Linked DNA regions of Cricetulus griseus. The protein of the gene in region 1 interacts with the protein of each later gene in a biochemical or structural test. Links are inferred from orthologs where the notes say so. Each region holds a gene or a part of one and is shown in the gene's direction. Other genes may lie near its edges.

Region 1 (4,034 bases):
GTTCCCCAGCAGCCTATGGCTCTCCCAAAGGAAGACACCAATAGGAGTTTCTTGACTCTTCTGTTGGGCAGGTTGTTTTTCCTCTGCTCTTGGCTTGGTAGTGTTTGATTTTTTTTTTTTTGTTTTAATTTATACTGAGGATTACATACACAGGCCGTCATAAGACTTTGGGCCCAGAGCTCTTTTTTTGTTTGTTTGTTTTTTGAGACAGGGTTTCTCTGTGGCTTTGGAGGCTGTTGTCCTGGAACTAGCTCTTGTAGACCAGGCTGGTCTTGAACTCACAGAGATCCTTTGCCTCTGTCTCCTGAGTGCTGGGATTAAAGGCGTGCGCTACCAATGCCCGGCTGGGCTCAGAGCTCTTAAAAGTTACTATCCCTGTGAGCATCTGCTGTATCTGCTGTTGTTAGGAGCTTGGTCACCAACCCTAGCTTCCAGGACACACACACACACACACACACACACACACACACCTGCTCGCTCAGACTCAGGGTAGAGAAAAGAGGCCTGTAAACAGTCTCTGAAAATAGAAGAGGCCCATAATTGGCAATGCTGCCTGAGGTCTTTTTGTGGGGGCTCTCTGCTGTGATAATATCTCCTTTGGACAAGACATCTATTGACTACCGTTCTAAATTTAGGTCCTGAGGGCTGGCAGGCAGTATTTACAAATCATTGGCTTTGAAACTGAACTATTTAGGTCTGAATCGGGTAATTTACTAAGTGTAAGGCCTGCGGGCAATTCCTCAAACTCCCTTAGCCTCCATTTCCTTGTCTGTAAAGTGGGTATAAAGATAGTGCCTGTGTAATGAGGCTGTGGTGAGGAGTAACTCATGGGAGGCCTGCAAATAACATTGTAGCAATGAGTCTGGCATGTGGCAACACTCCATTAAATGACAGTGTCACTGCACACCATCATTATTAGATTGTGCCAAGGAATGCTGAGTAGAAGCAGCTGGTGGAGGAGGAAGAGGTGACCTAATGGCCATGAGGAGTCACATGTGTGGATCTTGGCCTGGAGGGGCTGCGGGGCATAAGCGCGGTCCTTACCTCTTGCTATGTAGAGTGCCATACTCCTGGGCCTTTGATGGCAGACTGTGGGAAGTGGGCCCTCCCCCACCCTGCCACCCTTCTGCTTCTCTTCCCTTGCTCTGAAAAGAGAAGTACAAGTGAGTTCCCCCAAGGGGTCGGCCGCGCCCCTTCCTGTCTCCGCCCTGCTGGCTGCCCCAGGCCAGTAGAGTGGTAGCCTGGTAGCAGGACAGCAGGTTGGGGTTGTAGGAGGCTTAGGCTCCGAGAGCCTTGCTTGAGGCTCAACCCTAGAGTTTTCCCACCTGCCCAGACAGGCTGTTCCCTCCACCTTCTCCGCAGCCAATTCAGCAAGAGCCCCAGGATGGTGAGGTAAGGGCCTGGGGCCCATGGGAGGTAGAAAGGAAGGGTGGCCTGGCGCCCGGGGCACGTTACCTCACCACCCTGTACACCTTCAGGTGGTTTCATCGGGACCTCAGTGGGCCTGATGCCGAGACCCTGCTCAAGGGCCGGGGAGTCCCTGGGAGCTTCCTGGCTCGGCCCAGTCGCAAGAACCAGGGTGACTTCTCCCTCTCAGTCAGGTGAGTGGCCCTCCCGGCGATTTGGCAGCTCATGGCTTGGGTCCTGAGCATTCTTCTGTTCCCTGGGTTGCATTGCCTTCTCATGTTGTCTTGCAGCGGTGTCCCTGCCTGCAGCCCTAGTGTGTCCCCATAACCGTCTGCGTCTACCCCAGTCCTGTGTGCTTTTGCATTCGGGCCCCTTGGCCTGTCCCCCACTCCACTTCTGCTCCTGTACCTGGGGCCTCACTCCCTGGTGCCTTGCAGGGTAGATGACCAGGTGACCCATATTCGGATTCAGAACTCGGGGGACTTCTATGACCTGTACGGAGGGGAGAAGTTTGCAACATTGACGGAGCTGGTGGAGTATTACACTCAGCAGCAGGGCATCCTTCAGGACCGAGATGGCACGATCATCCACCTCAAGTACCCACTGAACTGCTCGGACCCCACCAGCGAGAGGTGAGCCGCGCGCATTGCAGGCTGGCCCGCTCCCTTGAGATCAGTGTAAAGGAGAGGAGCACCCAGCCCAAGTGACCTGCTCAGTCCGTTCCTCATGCCTACTCTGCCACCCCTGTTCTATCTCAGAGCCCTAGCCGCTTTCCTCTCTACCTGATGAGTCCCTTAACTAACCCATCCCCTGTCCCCTGAGGAAGCAAGAGAAGGGCTCCCCTTGCCTTTCTGTAGGGTTCCTGCTGTCTAGCAACCTAGTCCAGAGAGTGACAGTGAGGCCACTCCTTGTGGCTGGTGTTTCCCATCAGGTTGGCCCTATTGCTAGAAAGCTCTTCCTTCTATGGAACTCTGTTGCCTTCCCTCAGCTCTCCACAGTCTGGGCCTTTTAGGTCCCCATGTTAGGAAGGTCTTAGGGATCCCTGTTATTGGGATACTTAGGGCTTTATCTCAACAACACAGTGAGGATGGGGTTGCAGAGCTTGGGTGAAGCAAGGTCATTGATATGGTCACAGGTATAGAGGGGTAAGGACCCAGGCTTACCCGGCTCCAGGAAACACTTGGGATATCCCTCACCAGAGCTGCAAGGACATGGCCCCCATAACTTGGCTGGCTGTTCTTGGGTGGTCTCCCCAGAGCACTTGCAAGGAGAGGCATATAAATAGATGTCCTTCATTACACAGTAACTCATCTTAGCTGTACAGCATAGTGACTGACACAGCTCCTATTGAGGTAAAGGGCATGGAATAACACTAGGGGGTTCTTTCTCATGGACTTCTGGGGCCACGCATACCAACTTGTTCTGGGTTTGTGTATTTACTGTTGAAATGATTCTGAACCTTGACCCCCACCCCCGACTCCAGACCCTCTGCTGGGGCCTGAACTCTGGACCTTGTGCTTATCGGGTATGTGCTTTGCCACTGAGCCACTTCCCAGTGGTTTGTAGTCTTTTTTGAGATTTGTGCCTACAGACTTAGCTCAATATTTTTGTTCAAGTCACCTATTAAAACTTGGAACTGGAGGCCTAAGGTCTGTGGATCAGTTGGCAAAGTGCTTGCATTAAGCCCTGGGTTTGATTCTCTGTATTGCATAAACCTTGAGTGGTGACATATGTCTGCAATCCCAGGAGGAGGCAGGAAGACCACAAGTTCAAATTCGTCCTCAACTACATAGCACTTTTGAGGCTAGCCTGGGCTACGAAACCCTTGACTTAAAAAACTGAAACAAACAAACAAACAAAGGTAGAACTTGAATGATTGGGGTAAAAGCCCCTGTGGTTCACCTCTGGAGATCCCTTTCCAGCCAACACGAAGAGGCTGGTCTACACTTCCTTGAAGGCTTTTCTCCTCTGGTGGTGGATGGAAAGGAAGGGCATGCCTCATGCTCTCTCCTTCCCCCTCCTACCTGCAACACTTAAGGTGGTTTGGCCTCTTGGATGCTCTTTTACCTCCTTGTCTCCCCTTGTTGCTGTCAAGCCAGGATCTGCTGTGTTAGAGGACACGGACTGTGGAGGCATAGCAGAATTGTAGCTGGTATGTTCACTGTGATAGGGGAGGAGGGGGGAGCTGACGGGTGTCAGGGAAGCAGGGTAGGACAGACAGGGGAAGCATGCAACACTACATGGGTGACAGACCACTGAGGGGTTTGGATGACTCCAAGAGGCACTTTGGATGACCCAGAAGCTCAGTTTCATCCCTAACTCTAGGGTGTGCGGAAGCCATGGCCCAATACTCCTTGTGTCCTTGCCCTGCCTCTTCTGGGAAATTTGCATTTGTCCCCTCAGTGGTGAACTCTGCCTGTGGTCAGTTCACATTTGCATGGAGACTTCCTCATCCTGTCCCTGAGGGAAGGAGCTGAGCCCCCTCACATTGCTTGGGGGCCCTGGGCTGTCTCCGAGATAGGCTGGGGTAGCCCAGGACATCTGGGTTGGGGTAGGAGCCTCTGAAGGGCCCTGAGCTATGGTGTCCTCTGGGCAGAGTTGAGAAGGATCAGGACTGAGCCCCACTC
Region 2 (3,500 bases), on another chromosome or scaffold:
TGTACATACAGATGCCTGGCAATCATGTTCAAGTGGATCTAATTCAGGAGGGCTGGGTGTCACCTGAGATGGCATTTCTAGCAAGTTCCTACAGGACATTGATGCTATTGGTCCATGTTCTAGCAAAGGTCTGTGAGACAGGACTGCACTGGGATGATTTTAAAGCAAATGATCAGTTTATGGTGCCTTCTAGTCCAACAGTTCTACATCTTGGGGAATTGTAAAATGAAAACAAACAGAAAGACCACAGCAAACACTGGCTCTAAAGTAACACTGTTCTCAAGCCCTTCCCTTTCTTTCTGTGAAGACACTGAGCACATAATTAGCTCTTCTCTGCTGCCAATGTGAGAGCTGTTGGTGAGGCATTCCATGTGTGCCGTGATGGCAGGCATCTACGAAAGGTCTGCTTTTGGCATGTTCATATTGAGGCACACAGTCAAACAATGTGGTTATTTTTATAAATGGGCCCTCGTTATGTTGTGTGCATGTTTAGGGGTTCACTGAAATGTCAGGGTCTTTTCTCAAAGTTTCTCCAGCATGGTATGGAACATGGCCCAAACAGCCCTCATATTATGAGAGAAGTAGAAATTATTTTTCCAACCTCATATTCTTTTTTAATTAATTAATCTTACATCCTGGGGGCAGTTTCCCTTTCCTTCTTTCCTCCCAGTCCTTCCCCCATCCTCTCCTTCTGTTCCCACCTCCCCCAGTCCACTCACTCCTCATCTATTTCTGTTTAGGAAAGGACAGGTCTCCCACTGGATATCAACAAAACATGGCATATCAAGTTGCAGTAAGCATCTCCCCATGTGTTAAGGTTGGGCAAGAAAAACTAGTATGAGGAAATAGGGTTCTAAAAGTCAGTAAAAGAGTCAGAGACAATCCCTACTCCTGCTGTTAGGAGTCACACAAGAGGGTCAACCTACCTAACTGTAACATATATGCAGAGGGCCTAGGTCAGTCCCATGCAGGCTCCCTCCAACCTCATAATCTTGAAAAATGAATGCCCCTACTGTCATGGGGGTATCTGTGATGGATGTGCTATGAGATGAGAAAACAGTGGCCGACACTAAATTAATTTTCAAAATATTTTGCTTTGAAAGGTCTCAGCAATAGACCACCTCTCAGAAATGAAGGCAGAAACTTATCCATGCCAGTTCCAAACAGGCCACAGCCTCCATCTCCTGAAGAAGAAGAGGTAATACAGCTGTTTCTAATTTTGTTTGCTTTTCTCCCTAGCAAAGGGACGATAAGAAACTCTCCTAAGCTGCTCTGCTCTATTTGTGCCTTCTGTTAGAGCTTTATTGCCATTTAATTAAGAGGGCAGCTGTATAGCTCAGTGGTCAAATCCTTGCCTAGCATTGGGTGAAGCCCTGCCCTGGATCCACAGCACCACACACAATAAACCAAAAACTGAGGGGAAGATGTAAATGAAAACTAATGTTCTCTTTAGTGTTCTCTCACCGTCTTCCAGGGGCATTAAGAAATGATAAAAAAATAAGCCCAGTTTTTCATGTTTCCTGGCTTATAGCCTTGAATGAATAAGTCTCATAGTTGCTCCACTAAAACAGATTTTTCATTGATTATGTTACTACTATATAATAAGCTGGAGAGTTCGTCTATCTCTGTCTTTCTAGATCAAAGTCTCCATTACATAAGGGAGGCTCCTTCCTTCACAGCTGCTTTTGCAGTCAGTGGCATGCTAAGGAAGCACTTTGCACAAAATGTTTTCCATGCAGCCCCATCTAAAGGACTCAAGTCAAGAAAACAAATGTTCTAAGTCTCGAGAATTGAGGTGGTGATTTATGGGAAATAGTATTTTTTTCCTTTTTGTTTCTTTTCACTTTGCTTATGTAACTATAGAACTCACAGTGCTTTTAAAATTTATTTGCAGATTCCATTAGATGAAGAGTGGTATGTCTCTTATATCACCCGACCAGAGGCAGAAGCTGCTCTTAGAAAGATAAACCAGGTATCATTCTATGCTTTATGTTTATGCAGTTATACATGTTAGTGGAGGAAGGGGAGGGTATTGCTATGCACTGGCACTCAAGTATGAACTAGCTGCTGTTCCCGCTGCTAGGTGCTGTTCCTTTAAGAGCCATTAGTGCTACCATCCTACCCGCTAGCATCCATAGAATGTTTCCTCCAAGCCATCACTATCCGTCAGTTGGCAGATATTAGGCAGTTTCATTAATGAGTGTGTCTCTATTTTTTTGTCAAAGGAATCGTGTATCATTTCAGACATCTTACTAATTTATCTTCCTCTTAACACTTGTTTGCCATTCAAGATCATGAGAAAGACCCATGATGAAAGCATATCTGCAAAGTCTTCTAGAAATTTCTAGTTAGTCTTAATGTTATAAAGTCTTACTCATGTTCCAGTACTAACCCTTAACCCTGAGTTCCTGGGTCAGAGATGAGAGAACAACAACCCTTTAGCCTTTACATTGTTAACGCTACAGCAACCATTTCCAGCCTCAGCAGCCGATTTGGTCATCTGGGGTAGTTTTTTGTTTTTGTTTTGTTTTGTTTTGTTTTAAATTTGGGTTCCTGAGTTTTGAGGCGATTGTGTTAATAAGTGTGGGGTGGGCTGAGAGGGAGTCTTCAGGCTCCGCAGGTGATCCTGAATTCAAGCCAAACCTGTGACTCACTGGTCCAGAGGGAAGTTCCTTTATCAGCTATGTTCTCAATGGCTCAATTAACTATGAGCAAAAGGAACAAAGGAACAGTGCTATTGCATATTGATGGCCATTTAAAACCCATTCTAGTTAAGTACATAGAGGAGGGAGTGATTTACATTGGTCTTTCTAATTAGCTCTATTTTACTATTAGATCTTTGTCATGTTTTATTACATTGAAATAACTCTTGTATGAAATGTAAAATACAGAGCAAATCACATTTTAGAAAGTAAAGGGGAAAGAGGTGACAAGAATATACAAAGTCCACATTCACTTTTGTTCAGGTGTGAGATGGGTAAAAGCTAAACACAGCAAGTGTGTGGGACAAAGGGCAGTGCACTTCACAGGCAAATAATGAGGGTGTAGAAAGGCAAGTTTAGAAAACTAACAGAAGTGAGCAGGTATATGGTAAGTAAGCCTCCTTACTTCTTGTGGCGCATTACTCACCGACTGATTGTTTTTATTACTTAAAAAATGTATAGTAAGAATCTTCAAAAGCAGGGCGGTGATGGCACATGCCTTTAATCCCAGCACTCAGGAGTCAGAGGCAGGTGAATCTCTATGAGTTCAAGGCCAACCTGGTCTACAGAGTGAGTTCCAGGACAGCCAAGGTTACAAAGAGAAGCCCTGTCACTAAAACCAGAACCAAAAGCAACAAAAAGCTCCAAAGATGTTAACTTGCAAATTTCAGATGCAATCCCAGTTGTCTTCCTTAGAAATCAAAAGACCCAGAGTACCTGGGGTCCCCAGCTCTGAGGAGAACTCAGTGTCAATTTACAAGTGATAGCTTTGTCTGCCCCATAGGCTTGTCTCTTAAC
Region 3 (3,500 bases), on another chromosome or scaffold:
TTGAGAACGCCAGGAAGGACGGGCAAAATGGCTTACTGGATAAAGGTGCTTGCTGCCAAGCCTGACGACCTGAGTTCAGTCCCTGTGACCCACGTGGTAGAAACAGAGGAACAACTCCTACAAATTGTCCTCTGACCTTCATATTCATTACACACACACACATACACACACACAGGGCCTGGAGAGATTACACAGTGTTTATGGGCACTTGCTGTTTTTGCAGAGGACCTGGGTTCAGTTCCCAGTGCCCACATCGTGCCTGGCTGGTGAACCTGCAGGCAGGCAGGTGCCACGAAACCTAGCTCTTCCGCGTCCATTCTCTTATTCCTCCTGTTCCTTTCTCCTCATTGCTCCCCACTTCTTCTTCCCCTTCTCCTTTGAGACAGGACAGGGTTATACTATGTAGCCCAGGCTAGCCTCGAACTTGCGATCTCCCTGCCTGCCCTCCCAGGTGTGGAATTGCAGGTGTGTTCCACCATACCCAGCTATTATATCATTATTTTGCTTATACTGCCCTAGTGCTGGGAATTGAACCTGAGACCTTACACATGCTAGGCAAATGCTCTACCACTGGGCTACATCCCCATCTAACTACCATAGTTCTTCTCCTCCCGTGTTACCAAATGCACACACACACAGACAGGCATTGCCTGGTAACCTTATAGGAGCCCCTTAATGGTAAATCAGGCAGACATTTGAAATCATGATCTCGATGGAGAAAGCCAAGCCCAAAATTTGGGTTGTTGTTTCTGTTTTATTTGGATTGTTTTTCTCTGTTGTTCTAGAAATGCTGTCTAAGCCTAGGATATTTCATGATGCCAAGGCTGAGATCATAAAAGGACATGCCATAACCATCAGCTGCCAGTCTGTAAATGGAACTGCACCTGTCACTTACCACCTTATAAAAGACACAAATGTCTTCCTGGATCGCATGGTGACCTCCAATGACCCAGCAGCATTCACAGATGAGCCCATCGAAGATGTGGAATACCAGTGCATGGCGAACAACTGCCATTCCCACCCTCAGTTGTACAGCGAGACCCTGAGGGTCAAGGTGATAGGTAAGCAAGAAGGGCAGGGCTTTAACAGGCTGGAAGGTTTGATGTCAATTAGGGGTTGTGGGGATAACAGGGATGGTACCTGTGTATCTCACACAGCCAATCAAAGCAGAACTAAGCCCCCACAAACGGCTCTGAGAAAGACGGGGGCTCTTGGCATGGCCATTGTAATTCCTTTTGATCTTTCAAGTGACCCTTGAATCTCCTGAAAAGGGAAGGTGGCTGGTCTTAAGGAACTGCTGATATTGTGTATTTGGGGTTTCTTGGTTTTGTACCTTTTCACAAGAGCTGCAGGCCGGAACTCTTTTCTGCCATTGACCTTGGTGGAACATCAGGGTCACACAGGGAAACTTTTGGCAGACACTGGTTCACGGGAACCGCCTGGGATCCTCACCTTGGTCTTGGGGACAGAGAGCTTTCCCTCAGTGTCTGACCTGTGCCTTTGAGTGGCCTTTGCAGTGCCTCTGCTTACCTTGCTCTGAATCCTGTTGATAGACCCTTAGCCACCCTTCCTTCTCTTGTCATTTGTCACCTTTTGTTTAACAACTCTGTGTCATCAATGTACAGTGTATAAAAGCATACGGTCTACATGCGCTGGTGAGGGCAAGACTTGTCCACAGGGGAGAGGCAATGGATGACTACGACAGGCCTATAATCCCAGTACTTCTAGGTAGAGGCAGGGGGATCAGTAGTTCAAGGTTATCCTTAGCTGCATAGTGAGATCAAGGCCAGCTTGGGATACATAATACCCGAGTCTCAGTGGACAAGAGAGGGAAGAGGGGTGCGGTAAGAGTGGGTTTGGGGAACCTGCTTGCTGTGCATTCAGCTGGTGTTGAGGAGTGGAGACTTCCCACCTCCAGATGTTAAGAAGTCAGTGTGAACACCCAGGAGGAAGCCATGAGTTGAAATGGTTTAAATTGGGTCTGTATTAGTGGCTAGCATTTACTGAGCCCTCCTCAGATGTCCAGGCCTGGTGAAGCATTGTAGCAAATTATCCCTAGTAATACTCAAAATAGCACATGAGACTCATCATAGTTTACCCTTGGATTTGCAATGAAGTTGCTAAGACTTAGAGCAAATACAGGGTAGGTGGTAGGCTTGGGATCTGAGCCCAGGCAGTCTGGCTCTTGAGACCAATTCACCACTAATCCCTTCTTCCCCGTGGCAATGTGCTCAGGCTGTCCCCGTGTGGGACCGCGGCCATCCCAGGTCAGATGCTTAGCTTCCTTTAGATCTCATACCACCCTTTGCGTTGAGAGGTGACTCACGTCTGTTGGCCAGTCCACTGTCACTAGTAGGGAATGTGGCCTGAATGGTTAAGAATGCTGCTGAGGAAAAGGGCCCAGTGGGGGGCACAGCACTTTTGGCTTTCTAAGTCTCCAGGTGGGAAGGGAGCCTCGGGTTCCGGGAAGCTGTCTGGACAGGAAGCTTCAGTTTAGGTTTCAGTGCTCAGAAATAAAAGCTGAGTATGGAGGTGAAACTCCCATGAGTGGAGATGGAGAGCCTGGCGAGATGACTCGGCAGGTGGAGGTGCCCGCCCAGCCTGATGACCTGAGGTCAATCCCTGGGACCCCACATGGTGGAAGGGGGTCTCACAAATTGTTCTCCGACTTCCACACCCACTGTGGCACGTGCACACCTGTGCACAGAATAAATAGATCAAAATGGTTTATTTTGGTGGGGGGGTGTTTCGAGACAGGGTTTCTCTATGGCTTTGGAGGCTGTCCTAGAACTAGCTCTTGTAGACCAGGCTAGTCTCTAACTCACAGACATCCGCCTGCCTCTGCCTCCCGAGTACTGGGATTAAAGTCGTGCAACACCACCACCTGGCAAGCTCAAAATGTTATTTTTTAAAAAGAGTGGAGTTGGAAGACTGAGGGCCAACTTTCCAGAAAGTCCATATTTCACTGTCAAAACAAATAGTAATGGAGACGATAAGGGAGGAGAGTTAGCTTCGGAAACAGCACAGCTGGGGAAACCATGTCAACAGGAGGAGCTGGTGACAGTCTGAATGTAGGAGGCTAGAACCAGGAAACTGCATGAGGAACGAATGACCACCCTCTCCATTGAACTTACTCTGCTGGGCCCTGAACTCTGGGCCAAGTGACTTTTCCAGTTTCTTTGAGACTAGAGATAACAACACAGTTTCAAAAGCAGATGAGTGTCTGGGGCTGGTGGCACACACCTGTAATCTGACACAGGAAGATCTGGAGGTCATGGCCAGTTTCATGAGACTCTGTCTTAAAAAACAAAATAAAATAAGGGCAGATCGTGGTAGTGCACACCTTTAATTTCAGCACTTAGGAGGTAGAGGCCAGCAGATTTCTGAGTTCAAGGCCAGCCTGGTCTACATGGTGAGTTTGAAGCCAGCCAGGGCTACATAATGAGACCTTATCTCAAATAAATAAATGAGCAAATTAAACTGCGAGGTGGTGGTGGTGC
Region 4 (2,926 bases), on another chromosome or scaffold:
TGTGGTCTTTCGGGATCCTGCTCTGGGAGATCTTCACACTGGGTGAGCCGCTTCTTCCCTCAGCCCCAAACTATACACCAGACCATCTACCCTCTTGCTTCTACCTCCCTCCTGATTGCTCCTGGGGCTCGAAGCAGGGACTGTGGGACAGACACTGAAACATGAGCAGGGACTCAGGAGCAAGTCCAGGCTCTGCCACTCTTTCCACTGTATGGCTTTGGCAAGTCCTTTGCTGACTCTGGGTCTCTGTCTTCCCATCCAAGCATCAAAGAGGTTAGACATATCGAAAATCATGCTTAAAGCCAGCTATAATAATGAAAATCTGTAATCCCAGTACTTGGAAGTCAGGAAGATGGAAAGTTCGAGGCCAGCTTGGACCACACAAAGACTCCATCTTTGGCAAACAAAACAACATAGACACAAACCCTGCTTGTGTATCTATTGTTTCTCTATTCCCATCTCTACTTCCAATGCCAAGGGCATTGCATTCTCATACACTCCAGGTCAGTTGCCTGAGAAGACACCCTGCCACTTCCCACACCCTGAGACAATAATGTCCCTGTCTCTGTTCCATGACAGGTGGTACCCCTTACCCAGAGCTGCCCATGAATGACCAGTTCTACAATGCCATCAAGAGAGGCTACCGCATGGCCCAGCCTGCTCATGCCTCTGATGAGATGTGAGTGGAACCTTGTATACATGGGAGGAATTTGAGGGTTCAGAGGGCATGCAGCTCTAGCTCAGAGGTTAGACAAGTCCTGCTAGAACTGGATCAAGGTGTTTAAGACGGTGCCATCCGGAAGTTCTGTCCCAGTCAAGGTTTTCACTTTCTCAATGCTGGTTTCAAATCCAAGCCTGTCCTGCTCATGTGGCTGCTGTTAGCACCACCCTGACATCTTAGTGCTTGCATTACTCCAGCCAAAGACCCAGAGCTGACCTTTTAAAAATTTTAAGTGTATGAGTGTTTTGCCTGCATGACTGTGTGTGCATCACATTCATGTCTGATGCCCTCAGAGATCAGAAAAGGGTGTCAGATCCTTTGGAACTAGAGGTACAGACAGCTGTGAGCCAGCATGTGCATGCTGGGAATTGAATCCAACTATTCTGCAAAAGCAACAAGTGCTCTTAATCATTGAACCATCTCTCCAGCCCCACCCAGAACTAAACTTTAAGGGCTCAGTTTGTCACATGCCATCAAAACCAGGCCTGCTCTGGGAGGATGGAAGTCCCTATTGACCAAATTCAGGTCACATGCTCACCGTGGTGTTTTGGGCCACACAGAATCATGTGGGTGAGGGAAGCTGGAAAGACTTCCCAAGGGATCGGTGAGAAACAATGATGGTGTTAACAAGGCCCCAGGGCGCTCCTCCCCAGCATCTCCCCCTTCACTTTACTCTGAGCCCTACTATATGTCTCTAAGGTAGAGACTCTGACCCTCTCTCTGCCTCCCTCAGCTATGAGATCATGCAGAAATGCTGGGAAGAGAAGTTTGAGACTCGACCCCCTTTCTCCCAGCTGGTGCTGCTCTTGGAGAGGCTGCTGGGTGAGGGTTATAAAAAGGTATGTGGAGACAGACAAGGCGGGGTGGGAGACAGTTCTGGTCCAAACGCTGTGCACTGGACTTGCAGTGATGTGCTGGTATTTGGGAGGAAATACTCTTCCCACGTGCTGGGCCTCAGTTTCCTTGCTGGTACTAGAAAGAGTCAGGCCAGAGCTATGAATTTATTTTAATAGAACCAAGATGTGGAAGCTGATGAATTTGACCAAGGGAGGTACAGTCAGTCGGTCGATAACCCTATTGTCAATCCTGTGCACCATGACAACACTGGGGCTGCTCAGAAGTGTGAGCAACCCCAGGCTCTCCTCAACCCTGGCAGCAACTACACTTAAACCTTGTCCCAGGTTCACGCGAGGCCAATGGATCAAGTCTGTCCTGAGCTCAGCTTCTTGCTTCTTCCTATCTGGGGGTGGTGCTAGGGAGATCAATGCAGAATGAAGTCACCACTATTTCACAGCAAGGGACACTGACCCAGTCTCCCAGCAGAAGGCTGTGGGAGACTACAATGGGATAAAGGCCCATATCTGTCTACTCTGAAGTGGGGTAGGAGTTAGGGTCATGGTGCTGGCTGGCTACCTGCCCTTCCCTAGGCGACTCTGAGCATTTATTTGCCTTGTCTTGGGATACCAGGTAGGAAGGCAACTCACTGGTGCAGCTTCAAATAGAACCCCTGTCTCTGTGTACTAGCTGGGGTAGAGGGTCTCTAAGATGTTGCCCATCTCACACCCATGTTTTTCCTTTACTCCCTGCCCTATGGAGCAGAAGTACCAGCAGGTAGATGAGGAGTTTCTGAGAAGTGACCACCCAGCCATCCTGAGGTCTCAAGCTCGCTTGCCAGGGTTCCATAGCCTCCGAGCTCCCCTGGACACTAGCTCTGTCCTCTACACTGCTGTGCAACCCAATGAGGGTGACAATGACTACATCATCCCCTTGCCTGACCCCAAGCCTGACGCTGCCGATGAGGGCCTCCTAGAGGGTTCCCCCAGCCTTGCCAGGTAATCACCCTAACCCTTTGGTCCCAGGCACTCATGTGTATAGTGCATGTGTTTGTGAGTGTGTTTGTGGGTATGTGCTGGACTTGCTACAGAAAGAGTGACATCTAGCTAGAGTGAGGACAAACTCTTTCCAGTGGCCAGCAGAGGCTGGAGTTTATTCAGCTCTTGAAGCTGCAGGCAGGAAGGGCAGATTGGAATGAAACAAGATGATTGGGAACCCATTTGCAAGATAGCTCTTCCTTTTAAGGGTGTAGCCACAAGACCCTTTGCAGGTACTGTGTTAGTCCCTAGGACAGAGAGGAAACATTTAACATTCCCCAGCTGTTAGTGTGGGTCATGGCTGCCATGCCCAGAGCGCTCCAGGGAGCACTGC
Region 5 (3,500 bases), on another chromosome or scaffold:
GCCCCTGAATGTATTAACTACTACAAGTTCTCCAGCAAGAGTGACGTCTGGAGCTTCGGGGTCCTGATGTGGGAAGCGTTCTCCTACGGGCAGAAGCCTTACAGAGTGAGCCGTGCTCAGCTGTGTGTCTGACGTCTCAGCCGCGTGCCTTAGGAAAGCATCACTCAGTGTAGATCGTTGACACAGGAACCTGGGGACACCCCGGGGTCTCTCATCACCCTCTAACGGCGGGCAGTTAGTGCAGCCTCAGCTTACGGTAACCTGGGCATGACATGATGCTAAGTGAACGCGTTTCCACTGTGTGTTAGGTACACTCAGCAGACATGGCCCCAGACCATCCTTCTTGAGAGTTAAAATAGAAATGGTGCCAGTGACAGCGTCAACTATTTTAGCCGTTGCTATGTGTGTGCTTGTGTGTGTGCACGTGTGCACACTTTCCTGCATGTAAGCAGGTCCTACAGTGCCACTCAACAGATTGTCGCGAATAAAAGCCCTGCATCCCACAAAGCCAATCCCTAAATGAAGAATCAGAGCAGAAACCCCAAAGCCCGCCTTCTCCCCAACACATCCAGCCCTTCACACTGGGCAGTCACATCTGACTCTAGGAGTCCAGAGGAAGGGCCCCTAGCATTGTGACAGATGTCACCTGAAATTGCACAGCCTGTGTCTGTGTCCCTCTGTCTCTGGGGGTGAGGTACTTTTGTTTGTTGGCCTATGTTTGAAGAGTTTGTGTGCATTTCCATGTCTCAGGGGATGAAAGGGAGTGAAGTGACTGCCATGCTGGAGAAAGGGGAGCGTATGGGGTGCCCTCCAGGGTGCCCCAGAGAGATGTACGACCTCATGAACCTTTGCTGGACGTACGAGTGAGTACCAAACCCTTGCCGCCAATGACCCGGCGGTTTATAGGAGTAGATGGTGTGGCTAGTGTCCTAGTTATTTCTGTTGATGTGATAAAATGTCTCTGCTAAAAGCTAACATAGGGGCAAGGGATCTATTTTACGTCAGAACTCCAAATTACAGTCCCTGATCACAAGGAGGTCATGGCGGCAGGAACTGAAAACATTTGGTCGCATCAGCGCAGTGGAGAGCTGAGAGAAAGGCTGTTGTGCGTGCTTTTGGTGCTCGTCTCACTCCTTTCTGGGAAGGGCCAGGATTCCCTGACCCAAGGACGGTAACCCATGGTGGCCTGGGTCTTCACATCAAATAACATGACCAAGACAATCCCCCATAGGCCCGCCTGTTCCAGACAACATTGAGACTGTCTTCCCAGGTGGTTCCAGACTGTGTCAAGTTGACAATTAAAACTGCCCTTCACAGCTGGTGTCATGGTGTTTGTGACCCCTGGGAAAGGACCACACAGACCTAATCCAATTGTAATTAAAAGACTTATTGATTAGCTGCTCTGGGACAAACAATCTAGGAGCCAAATTTGAGAAGGCAATGAAGTGGACTGAGGGGTGGGGGGGTGGAGAAGGTTCTTTCTTTCTTTCTTTCTTTCTTTCTTTCTTTCTTTCTTTCTTTCTTTCTTTCTTTTTTCAAGACAAAAACCACAAGAAGACCTTCATATCTACGCAAGCAAGCAAAATCTGGTCTTTTTTGTCAAGTTCAGTGGTTAAGGCAACTCAAGACACTCTTTAGGTATCTGCATAAGCAAGTTACAGAAGCCAAAAAGCAGCTGGTCATATCATAACAAGTAGACAGCCATTCCTGTACATCTTTGGATAGGGTGACAGAGTCGGGGTGACTGGGAACTTATCTTCCAGGGACTGGAGTCAGTGACAAACAGCTGGTGGGTACCAAGATGGATGCATAGCATAAAATGGAGTGTCTTTAGCCATCACACTGAGTATTAAAATGAAGTATGAATTTTTTTTTGATGTATCAGGAATGCACTGCCTTCTACGTAAGTGATGGCAGGAGGTGGGGCCAGAGATCGACTGTTTTACTATCCAATCATGTCTCTTTGAGGCAGGGACAGTCATATATGCATTTTGCAGCTGTGGGAACATAGTAGAACATACTTAGGACAGCTGCAGAGTTATGCTGCAGAGCTGTTGGGATTTTATGAGACCGTAATGTGGACTCGAGGAAATCACAGAGTCCCACATGGCATCTCAAGCATCCAGAACAGCCCCTGCCTCTGACAGTGTCTGAGCGTATCCCTGCTTCCCCAGAGCCTCACACCCAGTCTAGAAGCTCCTGATGACCACAGGCAACTCAGGGCTAGAAGTCCCCACACAGTGGGGCAGGGCTGCCACCCGCCACACTCAGACTGCTCCGCCCACAGGGTCAGAAGCCCCACCCCATTCTTAGGGGCAGTGTGCTTTGCTTTGCCTAACAGCTGCTGAGCGGGACACTGTGTGCGTGGTGACAGCACCAGGAGCCACTAGGCATGTCCAGAGGCGCCTGTCAGGGAGGGTCCCAGCCACTGTGCCGAAGCCTTCTGGTGCCACCGAGATAGGAGATGCTCCCTGTTAGAAAGATGAGCTTGAGACCAGTCAGCTCTACAGAGCTCTGCCCTGGGAGGAATTCCTGGCCCTGAGATTCCCACAGACTCTGCACCAGCAGGTTTCCTAGGTTATTTTTTTTTAATTGTGTCTGGTGTGAGCATGTTTTTCCTGCCTTCAATCCCTGCGCCTTCAACCTCAGGTACTACGAGAATCCTAAAGGTGATTTTAAAATGTCAGAATTATGTGCAGAGACTGATCCCTGTGCGCAGTGGGTGCAGGTTTGTGTGCATGTGTGTGTGCGTGCAAGTGTGCTCGCCCGTGCATGTGCATGTGGAGGCCACAGCTGACTTGGGTGTCTTCTTCCATCACTCTCCACCTTGTTGTTTCTTCATTTACTCTTTTGCCTCTCTCTCTCTCTCTCTCTCTCTCTCTCTCTCTGTGTGTGTGTGTGTGTGTGTGTGTGTGTGTGTGTGTGTGTGTGTGTGTAAGTACATGTATATGCAAGTATTAGAGTGTGCCCCAGAACATATGTGAAGGTCAGAAGAAACTTTTGGGACTCAGTTCTCTCCTACTGTGTGGGTACTGAGGATCAGATTCAGGCCCTTTGGTTTGATAGCAAGTGCCTCTGCCCACCGAACCACCTCACTGGACCTTTCCACTTTATTATTTGAGGCAAAATGCCTTCCTAAACCTAATCACACCACTTCTGCTTTACTGGCAGCCAGCAAGTCCCATGGGAGTCACGTGTGTCCACCCCCCAGTGCTGGACAGATAGGTCCGGCCGTATCTGCCTTTTATATAGCTGTTGGTGACCCACACTCAGGTCCTCACACTTGGACACAGACACTTTATACACTGAGCTGTGTCCCCAGTCCCTGTGCCATTTTATAGAAGGAACTTGAACGCCAGAGGGTTTTGTTAACCTGCAGGGCCAGGAACCCCTCCCCCCCCATGAACACAGAGGGAGTGAGCTCCCTTTCAGTCAGGAGGTAAAAATTTCTCCCATCATTTGCTCACCTCGGCATCTCACTTGTGAGCAGCACAGACCCA
Region 6 (4,174 bases), on another chromosome or scaffold:
GAACACACTCTCAAAATTTGTTCTCTGACATACACATAAAATTATAAAAGTAAGAGAATATAAAGGGAAAACACAATACCCATGAGGCTTCAAACTCTGTCTCCCCACTATTAGGTGTGTAATCTTGGGTCACTTTAAGAGCTAAAATAATAAACGTTTATTCTCCCTACTTCTCAAAGTTAATAGTAAGTCTGGATAATGGAATACAGAACTATAAAAACCCTATACTGGGGGATTGTATAGCCACAGTGACCATAAAATGCTTCTAAGTAGATCTCTTAACAGAATTACTTTAGGAGCTGGAGAGATGGGTCACTGGTTAAGAACAAGAAGGGTTCAGAGCAGTTGGGCTCCCAGCACCCACAAGGTGATTCACAACCATTTGTAACTCCAGTTTCAGGGGATCTGTTGCTTTCTTCTGACCTGCCTGGTGTGCAGACATACATGTTGGCAAAACAGTCATACACATTTAAAAAAAAAAAGTCTTTACAAGAAAAGATAATTGTTTTACTTTTATGTTGCTCCTAAGGCTGGCCAGAGCAGGAGAGAGGTAGGGTGTGTGTGTGTGCGTGTGCGTGTGCGTGTGCGTGTGTGTGTGTGAGGCGGGGGCGGGGTGGGGATAGACTAAAAAAAATCCACAAGCGAAAAGGCACCCAAACTCGAATAGGCTTTAAAAACCGTGTTTCCAAAGCTAACTACTTCACAAGGAGCCTCTCTACACTCCACTGGCCCAGTTTCCACAAGTCTCAGCAGGAGCTTGGTTGGGCGGAGGTCCACACTGGCCAATAGAATCAGCTGTGTTCTTACAGGTCTCGCAGCAGGTGGAGAAACTGAGCAAGAAAAATTACTTAAACGTGGGCTCAGCCTTGCGCCGTGGTGTGGGGCGCCACAATTGGTCCCCCTCTACTAGCAGGACCGGAGAACAACGTTGGGGGCCGAATTTCTTAATCCTTTCGCCCAGCAATCTCGTTTCGTAGCACTTCCACTGCCCGCCGAAGTGTGCAGGGGGGTGGGGTAACCCCTGTGGTTGTCCTTTATTGTCTAGGGAGCACCTGTCAGGTGGCTGGCCTGTGCCTAAAGCGCGCGTGGCGCCAGGCTTCACAAAGCGCGGGCAGCACCTGCGTGGCCAGGAAGCCGCCTGGGGCAGGAGGACCACCGATGGAGGAAGAATGACGGGAGGAAGAGGATCCGGGATGGATGGCCTGTGGGTGCTCGAGGTCTCAGAGGACACAGCGCCCCCGGGATCAGCATATCCCGAGAGTCCCGGGCACCAGGCAGCGAGAGGGAGCGCGACCCGGGAGGGAGGAGGGAGGGGCGTGGCCGCGCACTGGGGGAGGGCTGGAGGAGGGGCTGTCGCGCGCCGCTAGTGGCTCTGGGGGCTCGGCTTTGCCGCGCTTGGTGCACTTGGGCGAGAGCTGTAGCAGAGAGAGGAGCTCAGAAACTAGCGCAGCCACCGCGATGAGAGGCGCTCGCGGCGCCTGGGATTTGCTCTGCGTCCTGTTTGTCCTGCTCCGTGGCCAGACAGGTGGGAGAGCGCGGCCGACTAGAGGATTGCACCCTCCACCCCGTGGGCACAATCCTGGGTCTGGGAGGGGTGTCACCAGGCGGGGTGCGTCCAGAGTGGTGGCTGTTGGCTTTTCCACTGCCTGTGTGTTACAGCCAGTGCGAAGGTGGCGGGCGGCCGCGGGACTCTGTTGGTCCGCCTCGCTCACCTGCGCCAGGAGCCGGCAGCGGCGGGCGGTGGAGACCCGGAGCCGAGAGTCTTCCGGGAGTCGGGACCGCGGGGCTGCAGGCTGCGGGCTAGTTTGGCGATGCTTTTGTGCGGACTGAGCACGGGTGGCAGTGGCTGGCGGCCTGGGGCTTCGCACCGAGAACGTCCTCTTCCCGTGCGAGGCGCGGCCGCGGCTTCCTTTTGTTAAAAGTTGCGTGTGGGTGACCTGCGCCCGCGAGGATGAGCCCGCGGGTCCCCGGACGCGCGCCGGGCAAAGTTGGAGAGCCTTTTTCTTTTTTTTGCTCTGCGGCCGCTGCTTCCCCACCGCGGGCGGTCTTTGTGTACAGTGCTGGGGACCCAACCGCAGTCGCTCTAGTCGTGCGCAGCGCTACCCGCGGAGACGAATCTCGGGCGTGCTTGTACCCCCTCCCCCTATTTTTTTTTTGCACGGGGGACACGCGGCGCGCGGCTCTGGGGCGGGACCCCGCGAGCCTGTATGTGGCGGCTACGGGGACAACTTGAGCCAGGCGTGTGGCGAGCAGCCGCTAGGTTGCAGACTTTTTCCTTTTGTAAATCTCGTGCTAAAGGCTCGCCCCTCTCTGCAGCCGCACGGTGTACATTGCTGCCACGCGCCGGGGAGCTGCTGCAGCCTACGTTAGCCGCCAGCTCCTGGGAAGGAGGGACCTCGTGCGGGGACGCAGCTGTTCCTTGCCGCCTCGTGCGCACAGTATGAGGGACCAGGCAGCCCGCCCTAGCTTTGGAAACCCCTGGTCTCAGTGTATGAGACTTGTAGTCGCAGGTGGCCGTTTTCTTTGGGAATCCCGAGATCTAGACTCCCCCTCTCACATGATAACCATTCTCTGGCCTCATGGGGTGGGATGGGGCAGAAGAGGTGAACTTCCTGCAAATCCCATTTGTTTCTTCAAGCTGTTACGAAAACCATGGTACCTCTGCACGGGAACTTGGGTCTCAAGGTGGAGGATGTGTAGTCTCCTGGAGCTCCTTAGCCCTGCCCCTTTTTGCCAGGTGTCGCTGGTGGGCTGCCTGTGCGGGTCGCCTGGCTCTGGTCATGAATCTTTGGTCTTTTCCAGGTCGTTTTCAAAACAAAACCCAGAAACCCTTTAAGGTTACCTTGATGCTATAGGCTAGAGAGAATCTGCGCTCTGGAATGAAGCGTCCAAAGGCCAGCAGCGCTGTCTGACCTGTTTGGAGCCCGCTGCTGGCTATGTTTCCCAGATCTCACTCTCCCGATGCTTTTGAAAGGCCCGGGAGGGCTCTGTGTGTGCGTGGTGTGTGTGTGTGTGTGTGTGTGTGTGTGTGTGTGTGTGTGTGTGTGTGTGTGTGTGTGTGTGTGTGTGTGTGTGTGTGTGTGTGTGGTGTGTGTGTGTGTGTGTGTGTGTGTGTGTGTGTGTGTGTGTGTGTTGTGTGTATGTGTGTGTGTTTACATCTAGACCCCTGCCCCAGAGGAGGGGTCACCAGGGAACGCAAATGAGTGTCCAGATTCCTAGGCGTATTTGACTGCTTAGCTGAAAATGACCCCAGCGATCTTTGTGTTTTCCACCTTGTCCTGCTTTAGACCAAGATGGAACACCAGGAAGATCATAGTTCCCCCTTAAAACCTGAAACGTACCAATGGTTTGTATCTTCCTCCTGATTAGTGTGCTCTGACCAATAACTTTGGCAAAGAGAATCTGAAGGTCTGTTGCCTGGCAGGCAGTGTGTCCTAATGACAAACCCTTGTTCTGCCCCACCAGTTTCAGGTCCCCTTTTCATACCTACAGCCTCCTTGGTTATGTGCCCTTGGGCGGGTCATTTAAATTAGGAGGGGTTGGTGCCTTCAGTTTTCCGTGTGTGTGTGTGTGTGTGTGTGTGTGTGTGTGTGTGTGTGTGTGTGTACTGTTCTGGCTTAGCAGGAAGCAGTTTTGTGTTTGTTTACGTTGTGATCTCTTTGGAGGGCTAGCAAGTGCCTGCTCTGTAGTAACCCCTCCTTCTTCCTGGGCATTTGCAGCTTTTACAGCTCAACAGGATGGTCCTGAAACAGTGAATCAGATCTTCCCCCCTTTCCTGCAGGTGCAAGACCCTAGTCATTTATGCACCTGGTCTTGGCTTATGATCCTACTGGAAATAATCTGATAGTTCTGTAATAAAGAGATCTCAGATAATTCACTTTCCCCACCCATCCGTGGATTTCTTTTTTCTTATGACGTTTTAAATCATGCATGCCGTGCTTTTGCAACACGCTTTCTAATGTGCCTTAAATATCGTATCATGGGTGTGCTTTGTGCATACGTGGGGCTTTATAATCAGCAAATGTCTGCCAGACCTCATGCTGAGGGCTTTCCCTGCTGTTTCCCTACTCAGGGAGCCCAGGAGGTTGGACCACTACAGCCTCTACTATTTTCCTATTGGAGACAAGTCACTTGCCCAAAATAATCAGTGAAGAAGCCTGAGCTCAGCTCCATA
Region 7 (3,500 bases), on another chromosome or scaffold:
TAGAAGCAGGTGTGGATTCCCATGGAACTGGAGTTACAGATGGTTTTGAGTCACTGTGTGGTTGCTGGGCATTAAATCCAGGTCCTCTGGAAGAGCAGCCAGTGATCTTAACTGCTGAGCCATCTTTCCAGCCCCAATATATAGCACATTTATTAAGGACCCAAGAGTCTGACTGCCTAGACAGAGTTGGTGCTTTATGCTTGTATGGCTTTGGGCTGATCACATGACTTCTTTATGCTTCAAGTAGTTCTTTTGGATCTGTAAAATAGTGTTAGGGCCAGCAAGTAAAGGTGGTAAAGGTGCTTGCTGACAAGACAAATCCCTGGAATCCACACAACAGAGGTAAAGCACAGACTCCTGCAACTTGTCTTCTGATCAACACACACATGCAATGAGTAAATAAATGTATGTAATTAAAACATAGTGGCACTAATGAAAGCAGCTTCCCTATATGGTCTCTGTGAGGACGGAAGAAACAGTATCTGTCCTGCATTGTTTTTATGTGCTTCAGATTGTTTAGAGTGCAAAACCTGTCACTTGCAGGAAGGGAAACAAACTGCTCATTGGTTAATGAGCTCTGGAAATGGCAAATAGGTTTTGTCATTGGTAGTTTCTTTTCTATCTCTATTCTGAGATAGGGTTTCTCTGTATAGTCCTGGATGCCCTGGAACTCTCTCTGTAGATAGGGCTGGCTTCAAACTCAGATCCACCTGCCTCTACCTCCTAAGTGCTAGGGTTAAAGGTGCACACCACCACCAACTGGCAGGAGTTTTTTTTTTTTATTTTGTATGTGTGCACATGCATATATGCATGCATAGGTGTGTGTGTGTGTGTGTGTGTGTGTGTGTGTGTGTGTGTGTGTGTATGCATTCTGCTGCCTAAGGAGGCCAGAAGAGAGCATCACAGTCCCTGGAGCTATAGTTACAGGTGGTCCCTTGACATGGGTGCTGGGATACGAACTTGGGTCTTCTGGAAAAGCAAGTACTCTTAAGACTGTGAGCCAACTCTCCAGTCTCAGGATTGTCATTCTTGTACAGGGTTTTGTTTTTATTAATTTACTCTTTGCCTTTTGAGACAGGGTTTTACTATGTAGCATTGGATGCCCCAGAACTCTTTACATAGACTAGCCTGACTTTAAACTTGTAGAGAGCCTCCTGCCTCTGCTTCCTGGGTGCTGGGATTAAAGGTATGTACCATCTTTACCCAGATGAAACCTCATTTTGATAATGGACACTGAGAAAAGCAGAGTTTATGACTTGGGGATGTTCCTAAATGCCCCAGGGATGGCCAGGTGGTGGTGGCGCACGCCTTTAATCCCAGCACTCGGGAGGCAGAGGCCTGTGGATCTCTGTGAGTTCAAGGCCAGTCTGGTCTACGGAGCTAGTTCCAGGGCAGCTAGGGGCTGTTACACAGAGAAACCTTGTCTAGAAAAACAAAGCAAGCAAACGAGACTGAGGCGTCTAGATGTCTGTATGGAGGATCTAAAGACGGTCTGTGGTAGAGTGAGAAAGCCATGTCTGTGGGGAGGAGATACAGGCGTGGCTCGTGCAGAGCTTTGGCTGTTGTGGAACTGGGGCTCTACCTTACCCCAGAGCAGGAAGCCTTTGGCTCCTCCTTTGGCTCCCCATCCTAACCCTCTGGAAAAGGCTGTCTCATATGCTAAGAATCCGGCCCCCACATGCGGGCGAGCACATACTCTTTCTCAGTCCTTATTCTTCCTTGCCACTGTCAGTCACTGCTTCCAGATCCTAGATGGAGCAGAAGGCTCTAGGGACTTCCTCCCGGGCAATTTAGATCTCCAACTCTTGCTTTTGCTCATAGGGAGCCTAGTAGATTTTCTCAAGACTCCCTCAGGCATCAAACTGAACATCAACAAGCTGTTGGACATGGCAGCACAGGTGAGGAGGATGAAAAAGGGCTGGGTCTGGCTGCAGCTCAGTTGGCCTAAGACTGATGACCTATTCCTGGCCTGCAGATTGCAGAGGGCATGGCATTCATTGAAGAGCAAAATTACATCCATCGCGACCTTCGGGCTGCCAACATCCTGGTGTCCGACACATTGAGCTGCAAGATTGCGGACTTTGGCCTGGCACGTCTCATTGAGGACAATGAGTACACAGCCAGGGAGGGTAGGTGCAGGAAAAAGAGGAGGTTCAGAGTCTGCAGCAGAGCAAACATACACAGGTGACCTCACTTTGCCTCCCTCTAGGGGCCAAATTTCCCATTAAATGGACAGCACCAGAAGCCATTAACTATGGGACCTTCACCATCAAGTCCGATGTGTGGTCTTTCGGGATCTTGCTGACAGAGATCGTCACCCATGGCAGAATCCCTTACCCAGGTGAGCATTAAGGGAAGGAACTCTGAGGGCTATAAGGAAGGGCAGCAAATCCCCACTCACTTCTTCCCTGGCTCAAACCCTGAAATTTCTAGTTGCTTCTCTTCCATCCCCTTGGGCTTGTGACTCCAGCAACCCCTATTAGATGCTTCGTCTCCCAGCACTGACTTCCATCTCTATCTCTGAGACCCCTCATCTCTCAAAAACTCTAGCTCCTTACTCAGTTCTGGTAAAGATCACCTAGTGTGACAGGAATGGGTCTGGCTCAGGGTATAAAAGTTCCTTTTCTTTTTTTTTTTATTAATTGCTTTTTTAAAAAGATTTTAAAAATTTATTTATTTATTATGTATACAACATTCTGCTTCCATGTATAGCTTCACAGCAGAAGAGGGTATCAGATCTCATTACAGATGGTTGTGAACCACCATGTGGTTGCTGGGAATTGAACTCAGGACCACTGAAAGAACAGTCCGTGCTCTTAACCTCTGAGCCATCTCTTCAGCCCCTTTTTCTAAGATTTTATTTATTTATTATGAATACAGTCTATACAGTCTTCTACCTGCATGCCAGCAGAGGGATCTCATTCAAGGTGGTTGTGAGCCACCATGTGGTTGCTGGGAATTTAACTCAGGACCTTTGGAAGAACAGTCAGTGCTCTTAACCGCTGAGCCATCTCTCCAGCCCAAAAGTTCCTTTTCTTACCAGCTGGGCCTCCGATAGATTTCTGTTTGACTTTTACCAGACCATTCCTTTTTTTTTTTTTTTTTTCTTTTTTCAGAGTAACTTAGTCCTGGCTGTCCTAGAATTTACTCTGTAGACCAGGCTGACCTTGAACTCTTAGAGAACCATCTGCCTCTGTGCCCCCAGTGCTGGGTTAAAGGTGTGCACCACCAATGCCCAGATTCTTGTTTCTTAAATAGGAGATCAGGACAGTGCTTAGGCCACACTAAACCATTACTCATCATTACTCAGCTGTACCAGTCCCAAATCATGACACAAAGATTTCTTATTAGTTATGAATGTTCAGCCTAGCCTTGGTTCCTTTCTGGCTAGATTTTTTTACTTAGATTAACCTATTTCTTGTTATCTACCTTTTGCCTAGGGGCTTTTTTACCTTCCTTCCTTCCTTTCTTCCTTCCTTCCTTTCTTTCTTTCTTTCTTT

What was found.
Region 2: the proteins of Ptpn6 (region 1) and Lcp2 form a complex in vitro, tested with the Homo sapiens proteins (2 studies listed by BioGRID). The link is inferred for Cricetulus griseus from reciprocal best matches to the Homo sapiens genes PTPN6 and LCP2.
Region 3: the proteins of Ptpn6 (region 1) and Pecam1 form a complex in vitro, tested with the Homo sapiens proteins (2 studies listed by BioGRID, with this or other methods). The link is inferred for Cricetulus griseus from reciprocal best matches to the Homo sapiens genes PTPN6 and PECAM1.
Region 4: the proteins of Ptpn6 (region 1) and Pdgfrb form a complex in vitro, tested with the Homo sapiens proteins (2 studies listed by BioGRID and IntAct, with this or other methods). The link is inferred for Cricetulus griseus from reciprocal best matches to the Homo sapiens genes PTPN6 and PDGFRB.
Region 5: of the proteins of Ptpn6 (region 1) and Syk, one has a biochemical effect on the other in vitro, tested with the Homo sapiens proteins (2 studies listed by BioGRID). The link is inferred for Cricetulus griseus from reciprocal best matches to the Homo sapiens genes PTPN6 and SYK.
Region 6: the proteins of Ptpn6 (region 1) and Kit form a complex in vitro, tested with the Homo sapiens proteins (2 studies listed by BioGRID). The link is inferred for Cricetulus griseus from reciprocal best matches to the Homo sapiens genes PTPN6 and KIT.
Region 7: of the proteins of Ptpn6 (region 1) and Lck, one has a biochemical effect on the other in vitro, tested with the Homo sapiens proteins (4 studies listed by BioGRID and IntAct, with this or other methods). The link is inferred for Cricetulus griseus from reciprocal best matches to the Homo sapiens genes PTPN6 and LCK.

The regions. Positions count from the first base shown.
Region 1 is NC_048601.1:21,673,076-21,677,109, forward strand, and holds the start of Ptpn6 (tyrosine-protein phosphatase non-receptor type 6), read left to right. Parts: upstream 1-1,234; 5' UTR 1,235-1,384; coding exon 1,385-1,392; intron 1,393-1,478; coding exon 1,479-1,601; intron 1,602-1,844; coding exon 1,845-2,039; intron 2,040-4,034. UniProt on the Homo sapiens protein: Tyrosine phosphatase enzyme that plays important roles in controlling immune signaling pathways and fundamental physiological processes such as hematopoiesis.
Region 2 is NC_048600.1:49,261,998-49,265,497, forward strand, and holds part of Lcp2 (lymphocyte cytosolic protein 2), read left to right. Parts: intron 1-1,103; coding exon 1,104-1,198; intron 1,199-1,894; coding exon 1,895-1,972; intron 1,973-3,500. UniProt on the Homo sapiens protein: Adapter protein primarily involved in signaling pathways within T-cells, as well as other immune cells such as platelets, mast cells, and natural killer (NK) cells.
Region 3 is NC_048600.1:119,627,657-119,631,156, reverse strand, and holds part of Pecam1 (platelet endothelial cell adhesion molecule), read left to right. Parts: intron 1-785; coding exon 786-1,061; intron 1,062-3,500. UniProt on the Homo sapiens protein: Cell adhesion molecule which is required for leukocyte transendothelial migration (TEM) under most inflammatory conditions.
Region 4 is NC_048595.1:178,023,405-178,026,330, reverse strand, and holds part of Pdgfrb (platelet-derived growth factor receptor beta), read left to right. Parts: coding exon 1-42; intron 43-579; coding exon 580-679; intron 680-1,454; coding exon 1,455-1,560; intron 1,561-2,320; coding exon 2,321-2,553; intron 2,554-2,926. UniProt on the Homo sapiens protein: Tyrosine-protein kinase that acts as a cell-surface receptor for homodimeric PDGFB and PDGFD and for heterodimers formed by PDGFA and PDGFB, and plays an essential role in the regulation of embryonic development, cell proliferation, survival, differentiation, chemotaxis and migration.
Region 5 is NC_048596.1:271,576,977-271,580,476, forward strand, and holds part of Syk (tyrosine-protein kinase SYK), read left to right. Parts: coding exon 1-105; intron 106-750; coding exon 751-863; intron 864-3,500. UniProt on the Homo sapiens protein: Non-receptor tyrosine kinase which mediates signal transduction downstream of a variety of transmembrane receptors including classical immunoreceptors like the B-cell receptor (BCR).
Region 6 is NW_023276807.1:142,062,712-142,066,885, forward strand, and holds the start of Kit (mast/stem cell growth factor receptor Kit), read left to right. Parts: upstream 1-1,374; 5' UTR 1,375-1,458; coding exon 1,459-1,525; intron 1,526-4,174. UniProt on the Homo sapiens protein: Tyrosine-protein kinase that acts as a cell-surface receptor for the cytokine KITLG/SCF and plays an essential role in the regulation of cell survival and proliferation, hematopoiesis, stem cell maintenance, gametogenesis, mast cell development, migration and function, and in melanogenesis.
Region 7 is NC_048595.1:23,482,550-23,486,049, forward strand, and holds part of Lck (tyrosine-protein kinase Lck), read left to right. Parts: intron 1-1,821; coding exon 1,822-1,898; intron 1,899-1,975; coding exon 1,976-2,129; intron 2,130-2,209; coding exon 2,210-2,341; intron 2,342-3,500. UniProt on the Homo sapiens protein: Non-receptor tyrosine-protein kinase that plays an essential role in the selection and maturation of developing T-cells in the thymus and in the function of mature T-cells. Plays a key role in T-cell antigen receptor (TCR)-linked signal transduction pathways.